Linked DNA regions of Diceros bicornis minor. The protein of the gene in region 1 purifies or fractionates together with the protein of each later gene. This does not show direct contact. Links are inferred from orthologs where the notes say so. Each region holds a gene or a part of one and is shown in the gene's direction. Other genes may lie near its edges. The genes, in order: CARNMT1 and RNF113A.

What was found.
Region 2: the proteins of CARNMT1 (region 1) and RNF113A purify together in Homo sapiens (affinity purification with mass spectrometry; 3 studies listed by BioGRID and IntAct, counting the BioPlex papers as one, with this or other methods). This does not show direct contact. The link is inferred for Diceros bicornis minor from reciprocal best matches to the Homo sapiens genes CARNMT1 and RNF113A.

The regions. Positions count from the first base shown.
Region 1 is NC_080761.1:18,786,105-18,795,276, forward strand, and holds the start of CARNMT1 (carnosine N-methyltransferase), read left to right. Parts: upstream 1-5,462; 5' UTR 5,463-5,565; coding exon 5,566-5,807; intron 5,808-9,172.
Region 2 is NC_080781.1:110,359,399-110,366,714, reverse strand, and holds RNF113A (E3 ubiquitin-protein ligase RNF113A), read left to right. Parts: upstream 1-4,512; 5' UTR 4,513-4,672; coding exon 4,673-5,704; 3' UTR 5,705-5,760; downstream 5,761-7,316. Other genes in the region: NDUFA1 (NADH dehydrogenase [ubiquinone] 1 alpha subcomplex subunit 1), read right to left, coding at 1,376-1,396, 3,320-3,409, 4,277-4,378. UniProt on the Homo sapiens protein: Required for pre-mRNA splicing as component of the spliceosome. As a component of the minor spliceosome, involved in the splicing of U12-type introns in pre-mRNAs. E3 ubiquitin-protein ligase that catalyzes the transfer of ubiquitin onto target proteins.

The DNA.
Region 1 (9,172 bases):
TCTAGTTCCATAGTGGAGAGTGTGTTCGTTTTGTTTTGTTTTTTGCTGAGGAAGATTCACCCTGAGCTAACATCTGTGCCAGTCTTCCTCTATTTTCTATGTGGGTCACCGCCACAGCACGGCCGCTGACGAGTGGTGTAGGTCTGCACCCAGGAACCAAACCCAGGCCACCAGAGTGGAGCACACTGAACTTAACCACTAGGCCATGGAGCAAGCCCCTGTGCTCATTTTTTTAAGACCAAATTATGGTGTCCTTAGCCTAGATGCAGCTATTAGAACAAAGTACAAAGGCAAAACTAGCTAGTTCTAAGTCAAAGACAGTACTTGGAAAGAGCAGAATTAATGGAGGTATTCCAAGAATAAAAATCATAAATCCTAGACTGATGATGATTATAAGGGAAGCCTGGTATTGAGCCAAAGAAGCCACTAGCTGCTTTCTCGTTTTTTCTTGAAGTCCTTAGATCAATAGCAGTTTGAGTCTCTGTTGACATAAAAACAAGATATTTGACATAAAGAGTAAGAAATAGTTTACCTCCATAAACATATTCCTTGGGCAATCTAGTCTCTCAGTTTTGGTCAGCAAAATACATATCTTTTCTCGCCCATGTGGAATTTAAATCACTGTAAATAACAATCATTTGCAAATTAATAAGGTTTCCAAAACTAAAAGGACTTCATGAAACTTATTTAAGGATAAGTTAAGATCAACTTCAGTAGAGGCAGTAGATCCAGTGGTTAATAGTTTCTTGGGCTTATAGACATGCTTTCAAATTTGGATTTTACCATTTAATAGCTGTATGACTTGAGTAGCTTCAAACAGAATCATAGTGATAAAAGAACATCCTTTAGCAGATTCGCTATTGAGAAGAAATCCGAAATTAAGCAAATTGAGTCCGAAGGCCTGAGAATGCGGAGGCTGATGGTATAAGTCCTGGGCTGAGTCTGAAAGTCTGAGAACCAGGAGCACCGCTGTCTCAGCTCAAGCAAACTTACCCTTTTTCTGCTTCTTTGCTCATTTTAGGCTCTCAATGAACTAGATGATGCCCACCCACAATGTGAGGACAATTTTTTTTTTCTCAGTCTACTGGTTCAAATGCTAATTTCTTCTGGAGACATCCCACAGACACACCCAGAAATAATGTTTTACCAGTTGTCTGGGCATCCTTTAGCACAGTTAAGTTGACACATAAAATTAACCATCACAGGAATGCAATGTCAGGTAGTGCTAAGTGCTCTGAAGAAAAACAAAAATGGTTAAAGGAGCTGGAGTGTACGTGAAAAAAATAAAATGCTTCTAATAAAAAATAAAGTGTGATATGTTTGTCTAAGGGATACCTCATGGTATGAAAATGAACAAACTACACTTTATACAACAACATGGAAAAAACTTTAAAACATAATGTGGAGTAAAAGAAGCAAGACATGGTACCACGAGAAAACAATCAGCCAAACCCAAAATATGGGATATTCTGCAGGTCAAATGATTGAGGAATAAAAGAAAGGAGTAGTCATAATGTTCTGATTTTTTAAAACTAACTATAAAGAGACATCTTTGAGGCAACTGGGGAAATTTGAATAAGAACTGCATATTAGATGATAAGATTTATTATTAATTTTGTTGACAGATATAATAATGATGGCTATCTTTAAAAAATTCCTTTTAGACATGCATAGTAAAGTGTGTATGGGAAAAATAATATAATGTCTGAGAATTGCTTTAAAATACCCCTACAAAAATTCATGAACAAACAATCAACAAGGTGAGGTTAGATAAAACAAGATTAGTAAATAATTGTTGATAATTGTTGAAATTGGGTGAAGAGTTATAATAACATAAGAGATTTCTTATGTTATTGTCTCTATTTTTATATAACTTTGAAAATCTCCATAATTCAAATGTTTTAAATGAGAAAAGTATTTAATTTACTTAGAAACTTGTTTTGGGCTTAAATGTAAAAATGTATCCATAAGAATAAAGTAGAAGTTACAAGTTTATGTGTCATTATACTTTTTATTTTGAGATAATTGTAGATTCATATGCAGTTGTAAGAAATAATTCAGACAGATCTCATATACCCTTCACCCCAATGTCAATATCTTGCATAACTATAGTATAATATCACAATCAGGAAGTTGACATTGATACAATCAACTGATCTTATTCAGATTTCACCAGTTTGATAGGTATTCATTTATGTGTGTATGGCGTGTATATTAATTTCTATGCAATTTCATCACATGCATAGATCTGTGTCACCACCACCATAGTCAAGATACAGAATAGTTCTATCACAAGTTTCCCTTGTGCCACCCTTTTATAGCCGCAGTCTACCCTTCCTCACTACCACCCTCAACCTGGGGCAACCGATAATCTGTTCTCCATCTCTATAATTTTGGCATTTCAAGACAAAATACGTAAGTGGAATCATACAGTATGTAATCCTTTGATATTGGTTTCTTCCCCCCCGCTCAGCATAATTCCCTTGAGATTCATCTAAATTATGGAGTCTATCAATAGTTCATTCATTTTTTATTGCTGAGTAGTATTCCCTTGTATGAATGGCCACAGTTTAACTATTCATTTGCTGAAGGACATTTGGGTTGTTTCCAGTTTTGGGCTTTGACAAATAAAGCTGCCATGAACTTTCATGTACAGGTTTTTGTGTGAACACATGTTTTCATTTCTCTGGGATAAATGTCCAAAAGTGCAATTGTTGGGTTGTATGGTATGCACATGTTCAGTTTCATAAGAAACTGTTATACTCTTTTCCTCAGTGGCTGTACCATTTCACATTCCCATCAGCAATGATGAATGTATGAATGTGTAGCTTTAACTGCTTAACTCACAGTTCTTCAGAATAACTAAAAAAAGAATTATGGTGTTTTGTGGTTACTAATTTCTGGAGATTAACTGACTTCCGTCTGATGAAAACATTCCAAAACTTTCAGCCCAATGGCTCCATGACTTGGGAAGATTTCTATAGGAGAAACTCATTGCAAAGAAGTTAGGTTAAGGAAGCGTTAAAAGTGTTTTAAAACAAGGCCAAAAACTTATTCTAAAGACATCTGAAAGGAGGAGAGAAAACATTTATTGGGCTGATATATCAGGCATTTGTCATTCTTTATCTCATTTATTCCTCCTCATGACCCTGTAAAAAAGTAATATTATATCCATTTTAGAAATAATACAATCGAGGCCTCAAGTAACTTTTCAAACAGGTCACAGTTACTAACTGGTAAAGCAAGAATGAGACGCCCATGTTTCCACCAGCTTCTAGCTGCCTTTAGGGCAGTACAAGAAACATAGGAGGCCATCAACACATTTGTTGAAAAGAATGAATGAATAAATGAACTTCAGCTCTGCTATTTATGTGTCCCTGGGCAAGAAAATTAATTTCTCTGAGTCTGTTTCTTCATTTGTTAAAGGAAGATAATAATAACACCTCCTTCAGAGAGTTGAATTAAGGAACAAAGAAGGGAAAACAATAGGGAAAAACAATTTGAAAAATGTAAAATGTTAAACAGATGTTAGACAGAATAATATTTTTTTGTGTGTGAGGAGATCAGCCCTGAGTTAACATCCTCCTCTTTTAGCTGAGGAAGACTGGCCCTGGGCTAACATTCATGCCCATCTTCCTCCACTTTATATGGGACGCCGCCACAGCATGGCTTGCCAAGTGGTGCATCAGTGTACGCCCGGATCGGAACAGGCGAACCCCGGGCCACGGCAGCGGAGCGCACGCACTTAACTGCTTGCGCCACTGGGCCGGCCCCCAGAATAATATTTTAAAAGTACAGTCAGTGTCATAATCAAATACTGATAAAATAAAGACATAAGACCTGGGTAGGTGGGCGCAGTGCCAGTAATTTACTGTGTGGCCCTATGATGATCACTTAATATGTCCGCTCCTCCAGTTTCTTCATGTACAAAATCACAATTGAGTTTAAAGCTGAGCACCTTAATGACACAGACCCTAAGATTCTCAACAAATTATGAAACAGAACCAAGAAAGCCTCTATTCAAATTAATTTGAAAATGTTTATTATACTTCCCAAGATGTTCACAAGTATGTAGCTGATTATCATTATCCACAGCATTCTGGCCTTTATCAATTAGGTCATTTGGACCTATATCAATACATATCACAAATTATGACATGTATAACTTGCGTATGTGTATATGAAAATAGTATTGGTAACAATTAATAATATGAGAATTTATACATAATTTCCAAGCACCAGTCTCTAAGAAAAATAGGCACTGGATAGAAAAATCTGGAAGAATAGAAAAAGAATCAGTATATTGTCTGGGGAGGGGATATGGGTGGCTAGGGACAGGGATAAAGAAACTCCACATTTGTAACCCTCTGCACTTTCCTTTTGAATTCTGAACTATGTATGACTTCATTACTATTCAAAAATAGACTGACATTTTATAAAAATTTTGTATAAAAATATAACATTAACATGGAACCACCACAGTATATTTTTAGCATTGTCTTTATTTCACTTAAATCGTGAAAGTATGAAGGCACTTTATTTGCAATATATCTTTTTAACAGAAATTGTGGTCCCTATGCATGTTTAACTCTTTTAAATAAAACACTCTTTCCCTTTATTTTGTGAGACTGATTTAATTGAATGGAATGAGTTATTTCCTAAGAATTACATTAAATGCAGGTAGGGCAGCCGTTTTAGCCCCGGGCCCAGAGAGAAATGAGGCAAAAGGTGAACGCAGGTGAAGAAGAGAAAGAGGTTAAGCCCGGCATCGCTAAGGGCCACGGTTAGATGCTAGTGGATGTCCCTGCGCCAATGCTGGGGCATTAAGACTCCTGTGCGCTTCGAGGGTCCTCCCCAGCACGGGTACTGGATAGAGTTACATCCCTGCATTTTCCTCATCTGCTGCCATCAGGGCAGGATTGGGACTTTGGCAGGCTCCTAAACACTGGAAAGATGATGGTGTCTCTCTCCCCGTATGTAATTAAAAATAGAAGTTTATTTAGGAAATAAAACTTAATTAGGATGAATGCAACACCTTCCTTCTAGACTTTCTGAAATAAAAATTCCCAATAAATTCATCAAAGCTGAACTTTTTTTCTGCCTTTCCCTCCTTTTCTAATACTTTAGCCTTACTCCAACTGCCTGCTCCAGAATCCAGCCCTCGCAGGCTGTGGAACCCCACCCACCTGGCTGCTCTCAGGTACCAGCCCCACCCCACCCCACCAGGAATCTCCTCCTTCGTTCCTCCCACCTGGCCATTAGCTCCGCCCACTGGGCGCATCGTCGTGACGTCAGCGCGCCGTCGCCGACGCCCGGCAGCAAATGAACGCAGGCGGCCGCGGTCCTCCGTCGTACCTTGGCATGCGCATGCGCACTCGTTCCGGGCGCTCTGAAGACCTGGCGGAGCCCGGCGCGGAGGGAGGCCTGAGGGTGGCGGGGGCGGAGCGCGCTGCGAGCTGGGGGCATGTCCGCGGCGGGCGCCGTCTAGAGGGAGGCCGAGCAGCCGCCACCACGCTTTCAGTCGCGGCGAGACGCAAGCGAGCCAGGCCGAGGGCCGCGGCGGCGATGCAGCGACGGCGGCGCCCTCCGCCGCCCGCCTCTCGGCTGCCCGAGGGCTGCGGAGGCGGCGGCGGCGGCCGCAGTGGCGGCGGCGGGAGCGAGGAGGTGGAAGTGCAGTTCTCCGCCGGGCGTTTGGGCTCCGCCGCGGCGGTTGCGGCGGCGGCGGCCGCGCGCAGCACCGAGGAGGAGGAGGAGAGGCTCGAGCGCGAGCACTTCTGGAAGATCATTAATGCCTTCCGCTACTACGGGTAAGGAGCCCGGGGCGGACCCCGGCCTAGCCCGTGGGGGCGCCCGCTGGTTGCGGCGGACCCGCCGGGACGATGGCGCCAGCCGCGCTCGCTCTCCGGCCGCCACGCCTCCGGCGCCCGGACCGGGCCGCCTGAGCTGACCTCGGGGCCCCGAGTCACCTTAGCGCCCCCCTGCCCGGGCCCTGCACGCTCGCGTGTCTGCCGCGCCGTCTGCTGCTCAGCCTCCTGTCTTCTAACCTGAGGATCAGATTAGCTCTCTTGCCTTCCACCCCTCGTTAAAGGTTTGGCTTTGAGGCCGGTGGGGTTTACTGGAGAAGTGCTATAACAATTTCAGGTAGAAGATGATGGTGGTAAAATCGTCCAGGGCACGGCGTGGTGTGTATGGGTTGTCTCCAAACTGAACACACGGAGAGCCCAAGTTCACCTACACGTGGGATGCTGTAGGACGTTTTTTCCCAAACTGTTGCCACTTCTTGTGAGAGCAGCTTAAGATTTCCACCCCACCCCCCACCCGCCTTGGCGCTGTGAACGTACAGGCACATTTGTGGTGAGCGAGTGAATGATCCCGTTCAATTTCTTTAACTGGTGGGTGAAATTAAGGTCAGAGGTGGGCCGGATGTACTAAAATTTGCTTATTATTAAGGAGGGAAATGAGAGAAGATGCAGTAAGAGTTGCCTTTATGATCTTTTATTTTCAAATATGTATCGAATTCTCACTGTGGGCTGGGCACGGTGGTAGGACTTTTAAACTTCTTGATTTCCACTTTTCATCTTTTTAGATAGATGTTAAAATAGCTTAGTCGCAAAATTATAATTTCAAGATCTGAAAGGGACTGAAATCAACTAGATTTTCGGGTTAAAGATGGCACTTTTATTCGTCTAAGACATGAGTCCGCCGACGGCTGTGTTCTGAGTCTGCCATTGGAAATCAGACAGACAGGACCTCCTACGCAAGTTAAAACTGTTCCCTTAGATGGGCTCCTGCTGTGCTTTGTGCAGACTTTTTTATGTTGCTTGACTGTGACCTCCTCAGGGACAGGGACTGAATCTTATTTACTTTTTCGTCGCCAGCCTTTGGCGTATGTTGTTGAAGCTCTGTTTTTAACAAATAAGACAAATAGTAGCAAAGAAATACGTTTGTCATTGCTAAATAAGTAGCAAAGAAATACATTTGTCATTCCTCAATAGTCTATTTGTGACTAATGGGTAAATTAGTTTGTTACTATTCTGAATTTAGAAACTTGGTTAGTAAAAGCTTCAAGTTATTTAGAAATGACATGAATTTTTGAAGTTCGAAGATCTTGATGAAATAGTTTACTCATTAAACCCAGGCCTGGGAACTGTGGACTGCATTACTTATGGAGCCCAAAAGGGAATTCGTAGTATTCGTAGTATTTAGTATCAACAGAGGGAGGAAGGCAGACAATAAGAGAATTGAATTTGATGCAAGTTTTGTGCCTGGAAGAACCAGGCGGGCAAGGAAAGTAGCTGACATTAGATAGCTAAGAGTGGTAGGTGCAGAAAAGTCGGGTACATTTTACTATAGAAAAATCTAGAAATAATATTGGAAAATGTCTTGGGAATATAGTGGACCCAATTAGTTAAAATGTGTTTGTACTCAGTTCTAATATGTTAGGACTAATTTAGAATTGATATTTGTGATTAGGTATTAGATGGGCCTTTTTTTCGGGGGTGGAGGTGGGGGGTAGCAGGGGAACTTTTACCTGGAACTGGGACCCAAGTGTGGCAATATAGAAAAGAGTGCTTGTGTGAGCCTTCTAGTGGATGTGATACCGTTTCCTATACTCTCATCCCTCTTCTTTACCAGTTAATGTGGGGTTGAGGAAAATTTCATTTTTTTAAAACAACCCTTTTTATTTGCATGGACTCTCTTGATGAAACACTTCAAATTCCTAAACTGAAAATAGTATGCAATAAAAAATATGCTTTTAAAATATCAGTTAAAGGACTGAGAGTGTGGAAAGCATTGTGTAGCAGAAAACACACTGGAATTGTTACATTCCAACATTTTGTGGTTTTCTAGATCTGCACTATCTCATACTGTAGCCACTAATAACATCTGGCTAAATTTAAGCTTAAATTAATTAAAATTTAATAAAATTTACAATTCATTTCCTCAGTCTCACTAACTACATTTCAAGTGCTCACTGGCCACATGTGGCTAGTGTCTGCTGGATTGGATAGTGCAGGTGTAAACCTTTCCGTCTTGCAGTAAGTTCTGATGGACAGTCCTATTCTAGACTTTCAGCGGGTACTTCCAAACTTTAGAGAGTTTGGTTTTACTGCTAAATGTCTTTTAAGATTAAGATTATAGGAGATTAAGATTAAAGGTCATAGAGCAAGAAATGTCCTTTGATTGATGTTTTCTCTTTCCAATGGCTTCCAATTTTGTACTTCCTACAGATTTTGCTTAGATGATGTATTCTGACTAAGGTAAAAATGATTATAGCCTTGTACTGAATAACAAAAACCGTTTGCCTTAAAATACCCCTCTTGTTGAATGAAGATACCTAGTCACATAGAAAATACTACAGTTGAAAAATCAAAGGTCTTGTCAGAAACATCCTACTTTTAGAAATAGTGGTTAGATGAGATGTTTAAAATTGAGATGTAGAGTCTATTTTTACAGGTGAGGGGATAGGCATATAAAGAGGTGAGCAACTTGCTCAGGGTTACACAACCAAATTGTGGTAGATTCTGGCCTGAAATTCAAAATTGTTCACTAAAATTTTACCCTTATTAGTAAGTAAATTACTAGTGTTAGTAAGTAGTGATAATAGTAAGAAAATTTTAACTTTGGGTATGTAATAGATATTTAAAATGGGATTGGACAGACGTTCCTTCTGAAAAGATATGCTTTTCTGTTTGCAATTCTAGAGTAGTTCAACAGGTGCAGAGGAATGGGCCTATGACCTTGGACCCTGGCTCAGACCCAGCATTGGATTGACCCTGATGAAAGGTGACTAAGTCAGAGTTGGGGTCACTGCCAACCCTTGAGGAAATATGACTGCTGACTCTACTGTATTCTCCCCTTAGCCAGCAGAGGATGTGGCCACTTGATGCTGGCTGACTTCTGAACCAAGGAGAGTCTGAAGGTTGTAAAACATTCCTTTAAAGCGGGGTTGGCAAACTTTCTTTAAAGGGCCAGGCAATAACTATTTTAAGCTCTGGGGGCTAGGTGGTCTCTGTTACAACTATTCAACTCTGCCCTTGTGTGGAAGCAACCATAGGCAATGTGTGAACAAATGGGCATGGCTATGTTCTAGTAAAACTTTCTACAAAACGGACTGAGTAGCCAGTGGGCCGTAGTTTGCTCACCCCTGTCTTAAAGCACATTGATAGCA
Region 2 (7,316 bases), on another chromosome or scaffold:
TAGAGTATTACTCTAAGTGTGATTGCCACCTCCTTCCTCTCTAAGTCCTGCCCTGTCAGATGCAGTCAACGGAAACCACACAGTGCAGGTGTGTTTAAGGTCATAAGCAGATCAAATGTTACACTAGATAAAAGATGGAGATGAAAAACAATTTAGATTTCTCACCTACAGGTCCTGTGGCCATCTGGGGTGTGGATCTATACACATGGAGTATCACCATCTTTACAGCAGTTATACCTTTTCAGATCTTCATATTATTTGGTTACCTTTAATGTTGAACATGCAACTCTTTATTTCAAGTGGTCAGTACACTCATTTTATTAAACATGATTGTTGCTGCTCTACACTAAAACAAAAATCAACACTTAAGCAAATACTGTGTGTTAGATACAGAATGAATGAAAGTTGAAGGTGCAACGTTTTAAAGCATCCTAACTGGAATTTTATTTTTTATTTTTTTTCCCCCAAAGCCCCAGTAAATAGTTGTATATCATAGTTGCACATCCTTCTAGTTGCTGTATGTGGGACGTGGCCTCAGCATGGCCGGAGAAGCGGTGCGTCGGTGCGCGCCCTCCGAACCCGGGCCACCAGCAGCGGAGCGCGCAAACTTAACCGCTAAGCCACGGGGCCGGCCCCTAACTGGAATTTTAAACACTATAGGATTCACCCAGAAAAGGAACTAGAAAAAAAGTACTACTCTTTCTGTATTCTCCTGACAATCTCTGAAGAAACAATGTTTTTTAGTATATTAGTATCTATTACAATAGTAGCAACTGCCATTTATGACACATTAGATGTTGGGCACTGTGGCAGGTGCTTGGTGTACATTTTTTTTTGTTTTGTGAGGAATATCAGCCCTGAGCTAACATCCATGCTAATCCTCCTCTTTTTGCTGAGGAAGACCGGCTCTGAGCTAACATCTATTGCCAATCCTCCTTTTTTTTTTTTTTTTCCCCAAAGCCCCAGTAGATAGTTGCATGTCATAGTTGCACATCCTTCTAGTTGCTGTATGTGGGACACAGCCTCAGCACGGCTGGAGAAGCGGTGCGGCGGTGCATACTCCAGATCCAAAGCCGGGCTGTCAGTAGTGGAGCGCAGGCACTTAAGCGCTAAGCCACGGGGCCGGCCCCACTTGGTATACATTATGTCTGTAATTTTACAAGCCTCAGTCGCTTTCCAGTTTTTTTAAAGTGATAAAGCTACATTGGGTAGACTGCTTGATCTTGTGTAGTACTATTAAAAAAAGTAAAGAAAACCTTCGATTTTACTTTTTCATTTTATTTTTATTAGGTACTACATAATACATTACATAATCTTCTAGCAGGGGTAGATGAGTATAACTGAGTTATTTTTCATCAATCAGGAAAATGCTTCCTTAATCAATGTTCTCCAAACCCTGAAAAACAGTTTAAAAAGGAAAACGTGAAAATTATTTTCCCATCAAAAATGTACACATACTCTTATTTCCAGTGTCACCAAATGGCATTCTCTGTCATTTAAGAAAGTACTTCCACATCCCACATTGCTCTAACTCTAACAATAAATTGGACTGAATTTTATAATCACTAAAGTAAAAAGAATAACCTATAATGATTTCTAGTTTTCTTTTTCTGACAGCAGCAAACATTATCACTTTACATAAAAAGACCCTCCCATATCAAAACTAAAGGCAAGCAACTACATAGTTACCATCTGCATCCTTCTATAAAGTACCCTCAGAGAGTCAGAGGACAGTAAGATAAAACCGTTTTATAAAATAACAGTCAACATGAGGAAGATACTATTAGCCTCATTCCACTGTTTTACAGATGAAGAAATGGAGGCTGAGAGAGGTTTAAAGTTGCTTGCTTAAGTCAGTAAGGCAGTAGCAGAGCCAGAATTCAAGTTTAGGGACTCCTCCAACTCCAGAACTCTTGCCCTGTAAGCATGACACTATTTATTCAGAAGACCCACTCTGTCTTACTCAGTTCACAACCAAATACTTCAGAAACTATAAAGTAAAAGATTAAGTAAAAGAAATGATGACATTTCTTCCAGGTGTTAAAATAACACAGTCCAGATATTTTGTTTACTATTGTAGGAAGAATCACCTTGAGACAAATTAAAATTGCATAGTCCTAGGGGCCACCTTGTAGAAATCCTAATTCATTTGGTCTGGCCAGGGGCCTAGGAATCTGTATTTTATCTCATATGCCAGGTGATTCTGATGGTTATTCTTGGACCATACTTGAGAAATACTGCTCTAGATTTGTAGATATCATCACGTAGATTAGATTAGATTCTCAAATATATACTGAGGGGCAGATCACCTAGGTTGAGTCCTTATAGTGTTATTTAATCGTTCTGACTCTCTATTTTTTCATCTATAAAATGGAATTAATATTTACCCAAGTTCACTGAAGAATAAATGAGCAAGAAGAAAATATAAAAAACTAAAATATTTTAAAAGAATAATGAAGACGAACTCCTACAAGATATAAGAACATACTATTAGGTTGAACCATATGAAAATGCTACTACTTGGCCATTTTTAACCTACAAAAAACAGCAATTTCATATGATTCAAGCACATACAAAATTATAGTGCTTCTTTACATATGGTATTGGTGCAGGAATTGGCAAACCAATGGAGTATAGAAGAGTGCATTCATGAAACAGGCCCAGGTGTATATGGAAATTTAGTTTACTAGAGTGGTATTTCAAATAAAAAAATGGACTATTCTATAAATGGATAATTGTGACAACTGGCTATCTCTTAGAAAAAAGAAAAGTCAAATCCTGGCTTCACATTATGTCCCAAAATGACCTGTAGAAGGGTCAAAGCACTAAATGTAAAAAGAGAAAAGAAAAGAAAAAAGAAACTGTAACAGTATTTAGAAAAATTGTAAGAATATATTTTTACAATCTTGGGTAGCAAAGTCATTTGTAAGCAAGACAAAAAACCCCAAATCCAGAAGGATAAACTATGATAAACTGAACATCAAAATTAAAAACTACTATCTGATGAAAGACATCGTGAAGTGAAAAAGACAAACAGCAGACTGGGAAAAATATTTGCCACATATAAAATAAAAGATTAATATTCATAATACATAAAGAACTGCTATAAATCAAAAAGAAAAAGACAACAGAACAAGCAAAGATTATAGGCAAACAATCCACAGAATAAGAAATACAAACGATTATTAAATATGTAAAAAGCTACTCAACCTCACTAATAGACAAGAAAATGCAAACTAAATTAGCACTGTAAGACTTTTGGCAAAATATTACCAGAACCCACCTCCGTGACAGATGGCTAGCATCAGAACCATCTTACCTTTGACTTATAGTAATGATTAACTCCAGAGATGCGCCTATCTCTTTCCATCAAACTCCACTGATATGGATAATAGGCAACCCTTTTTTCCTACAATTAAAAGAAATTATTATTGCAGTTTATAAACATAAGTGACCCAATAGAGGGATACTAGAACTTTAATAAGTGACATTATAGAAAAATGGAATCATCACTGAAATAAAAACCAAATTAACAATAGAAGACAATAATCCTAAATAAAATCGGACGACTAAACTTTAGAATTAAGATGGTAACCATGAGTTCTTACACTTTCCTATTTTAACCAGCATCATTTTTTTTCTTTCCTCCTTTTTTTAAAAGATATGACTACTTGTTTCCTTTTGGGACCCTAATGAGAAGAAACAACAGTGGTAGATCACACGTGAAGGACAATCACAAAAGCAGAAAGCAAACACATTTACACTCTGTATTCCAGAGATGATGGGAAGGACTAGGAAGAGAGGAAAATTACAATCCTGATGTGAATAACAGGATCTTGCGGTAAATTCCTAAAGGCTTGCAAGAAAAAGTGGGAGATAAAAAACGTCAAGGTAAAAACCTAATTAAGGGTAGGGAACACGTCAAAAACGAAGCTACCAAGACGTGGATGCGAGAAATTAAAATCAAAATCCAGCAAGAAAGGAGATTGGAGGTCGGAGGAAGCGGGGACAAAACTAATTGATGCCTCTCTCTGCCTCTACTCTGCCCTCTTGCCCACTCTTCACCCAGCAACTTCTTGCTAGAGTAGAATGTGGTTTCCGTTGGGCTTCATTCCGCAAGCCTCTGCTTTTAGGCAACACGAAGAAAGGAGAGGGCCGACCTTGGGACTCCCCATCTCGGAGAGAGGCTCCGGGTTCTACCGGCCTCCCTACCCCACCGCCCAGTTTGTAACGCCAATCCGCGGAGTCAGCCGTCGGGCCGCAGAAGCTGCCTTACCTTGCCCCCGTTAGTGAACCTGTTGAGGCGCGCCGTGGCCATTCCGGGGATGAACAAGCACACGGCCATGACGGCCATCCCGGGAAGAATTTCGAACCACATCGCAACACGGTTACCGGGACCAGACACTTCCTCCCAGGCCCCTTAAAGGTGACCCGGCTTCGGTCCCTTCCGGGTAAACTCCGCGGCAGCCCGCGAGCGGGGCGGGGTCACGTACGCCTCTGGAGGAAGCGACGGAGTCCGGCAGGGTTCAAGAGTGGCGTGTGCTCGCGCTCCCGCGCTCCCGCAGTCTTCCTTCTGCAGTCTGTTTTGCTCCGAGTCGCGGCGGAGCGCACGCCGTGCAGTGACGCGAAGAGGCCCCGCGCGAGCAGCCGTTTCGGAGCTCGGGACTCTAAAATGGCGGAGCAGCTTTCTCCAGGAAAGGTGACAGACCAGGTGTGCACCTTCCTCTTCAAAAAGCCTGGGCGGAAAGGGGCTGCAGGCCGCAGAAAGCGCCCAGTCCGCGACCGAGAGCCCGAAGACAGCAGCAGCAGCGGTGAAGAAGGCAGCACTGTGGTTCGCCCGGAAAAGAAGAGGGTGACCCACAATCCGATGATACAGAAAACCCGTGGCAGTGGTAAACAGAAGGCGGTTTACGGCGACTTCAGTAGCGAGGAAGAGGAGGAGAAGGAGCCTGAGAGTCTCGGCGTGGTCTACAAGTCCACCCGCTCGGCGAAACCCGTGGGCCCAGAGGATTTGGGGGCGACTGCTGTCTACGAGCTAGACACAGAGAAGGAGCGTGACGCACAAGCCATCTTTGAGCGCAGCCAGAAGATCCAGGAGGAGCTGAGGGGCAAGGAAGATGACAAGATCTATCGGGGAATCAATAATTATCAGAAATATATGAAGCCCAAGGATACGTCTATGGGCAATGCTTCCTCCGGGATGGTGAGGAAGGGCCCCATCCGAGCTCCCGAGCATCTACGTGCCACCGTGCGCTGGGATTACCAGCCCGACATCTGTAAGGACTACAAGGAGACTGGCTTTTGCGGCTTCGGAGACAGCTGCAAATTCCTCCATGACCGTTCAGATTACAAGCATGGGTGGCAGATCGAACGTGAGCTTGATGAGGGTCGCTATGGTGTCTATGAGGACGAAAACTATGAAGTGGGAAGCGATGATGAGGAAATACCATTCAAGTGTTTCATCTGTCGCCAGACCTTCCAAAACCCAGTTGTCACCAAGTGCAGGCATTATTTCTGCGAGAGCTGTGCACTGCAGCATTTCCGCACCACCCCGCGCTGCTATGTCTGTGACCAGCAAACCAATGGCGTCTTCAATCCAGCGAAAGAATTGATCGCTAAACTGGAGAAGCATCGAGCTGCAGAAGAGGGTGGTGCTTCCGATTTCCCAGAAGACCCCGATGAGGGTCCAATCCCCATTACTTAGTTTTCCCATTATTCTCAAAAATCAAAATAAATATTTTGTTGTTTTGGAAATGTTAATTCGTGTCCTTCCTTTCCAGGGAAAGTGTCAGAGGAAAAGGCGGGTGGTGAAGTAGGGTCCTGGATGGATACCTTGTAAAAGCATCGAGGTAGGTATAATCTGAATTTTTACCTTGTATAAATGCTGCCTGTGTGTAACAGATCCTTTTCAGAATCCTTTGGCTTAAATTCTGGGGATGGGAGAAGTTCAAGAAAAGAGCTAGAATTCGCTGAAATAACCAAAGCTGTGATGAAAGCAAAAACTGAACCTATTTGTTATATCACATTTCCGTATCAATAGTTTACAAAAGTACTTGCATGCGTTATCTCTACTGGGAGCCTATACTACTTCAAATACACCCCAGCCAAGGTGCGTGTGTGTTGTGGGGGAGGGGGGTGTTGAGTGGGAGAATTCGGTTGGGGGACTTGTAGCTAGCACCACAGGGTCCACCACATTCTATAACAATGTATAAAGTATAGTGGGGATACATGAGAAGCCTACTGGGAAAATGGCTTAATAAATCATCACACACACACACAAAAGAAGTCATCACACGGGAAACAGCATTTAAGGGAGGGGACAAAGTAATAGAGCCGAATAGGAAACAGGAAAGAGGACGTTGTAGAGGCAGACTGAGAAACAGGAGTGTACACTGCCATAGAAGGCAAAGGAAGACAGTGTTCTAAAAAGTGTCATGGAAAGAAATACGGTAATGAGTAGCAAAAGAATCACAAAAATGGTTCATTTTTTTTTTACTATTCCTTAGAATTTATACTAAGAAAGTTATTCAAAAGTAGAATAAAGCTTTATGGAAAAAGATATACATTGAATTGCTACCTATTATATATAATAAGCTGAGGGAAAGGGTCTGGGAGAAAACAAATATGAAAGAAAAAGAATGCTGCTGCTGACTAAGCTCTAGAAGGTGGCTAGAACTGAGAAGAGGTGGGATTAAAGGCATAAATCAAGAAGTCTTAGAGCTGAGAGAAAGAAAAGGAGAAAGATGATATTCGTCTAATACTCCACATGCATTTTTTAATACCTGTCAGTGAATCTTACGAGTATACAAAATATATGCAAATGAGTATTATTCTTGGGATCCACAACATTCAGCAGATTCTTAAAAAGGATCATAACTACAGAAAAGCACGTAAATTGATAGTGGCCTCACAGTATTTTTCATGTTTACAAGTTTATAATTTCATTTTTTAGAAGTCAGAACTATTTTTTATCACCTTTAATTAAATGGTGCAACTTCATTTCATAGATGGAAACTAAATAGTTGTTCTTATAAATTTTAAAAAGTTAAATATGGAAAAAAAAGAAAGCATGCCAGCAAAGATGAGGTTGCAGCTGGACTCTGAAGGAGCTAACCTAGTCTGAGAGGTCAGAGGAGGCTCCCCTAGAAAATGACCCTCAAACTGAGACCTGAAAGGGGAGTGGACAAAGAGTAGCCCAGGCAGAGAGAAGTATATACGAAGGACCTGAAGTGAGAGACTGGCTTCAGCTCAGAACTCAAAGCAGTCCAGGATGGCTGGAGGAAAAGGACAGGTGGCCAAGTAGTCAGGGCCAAAGA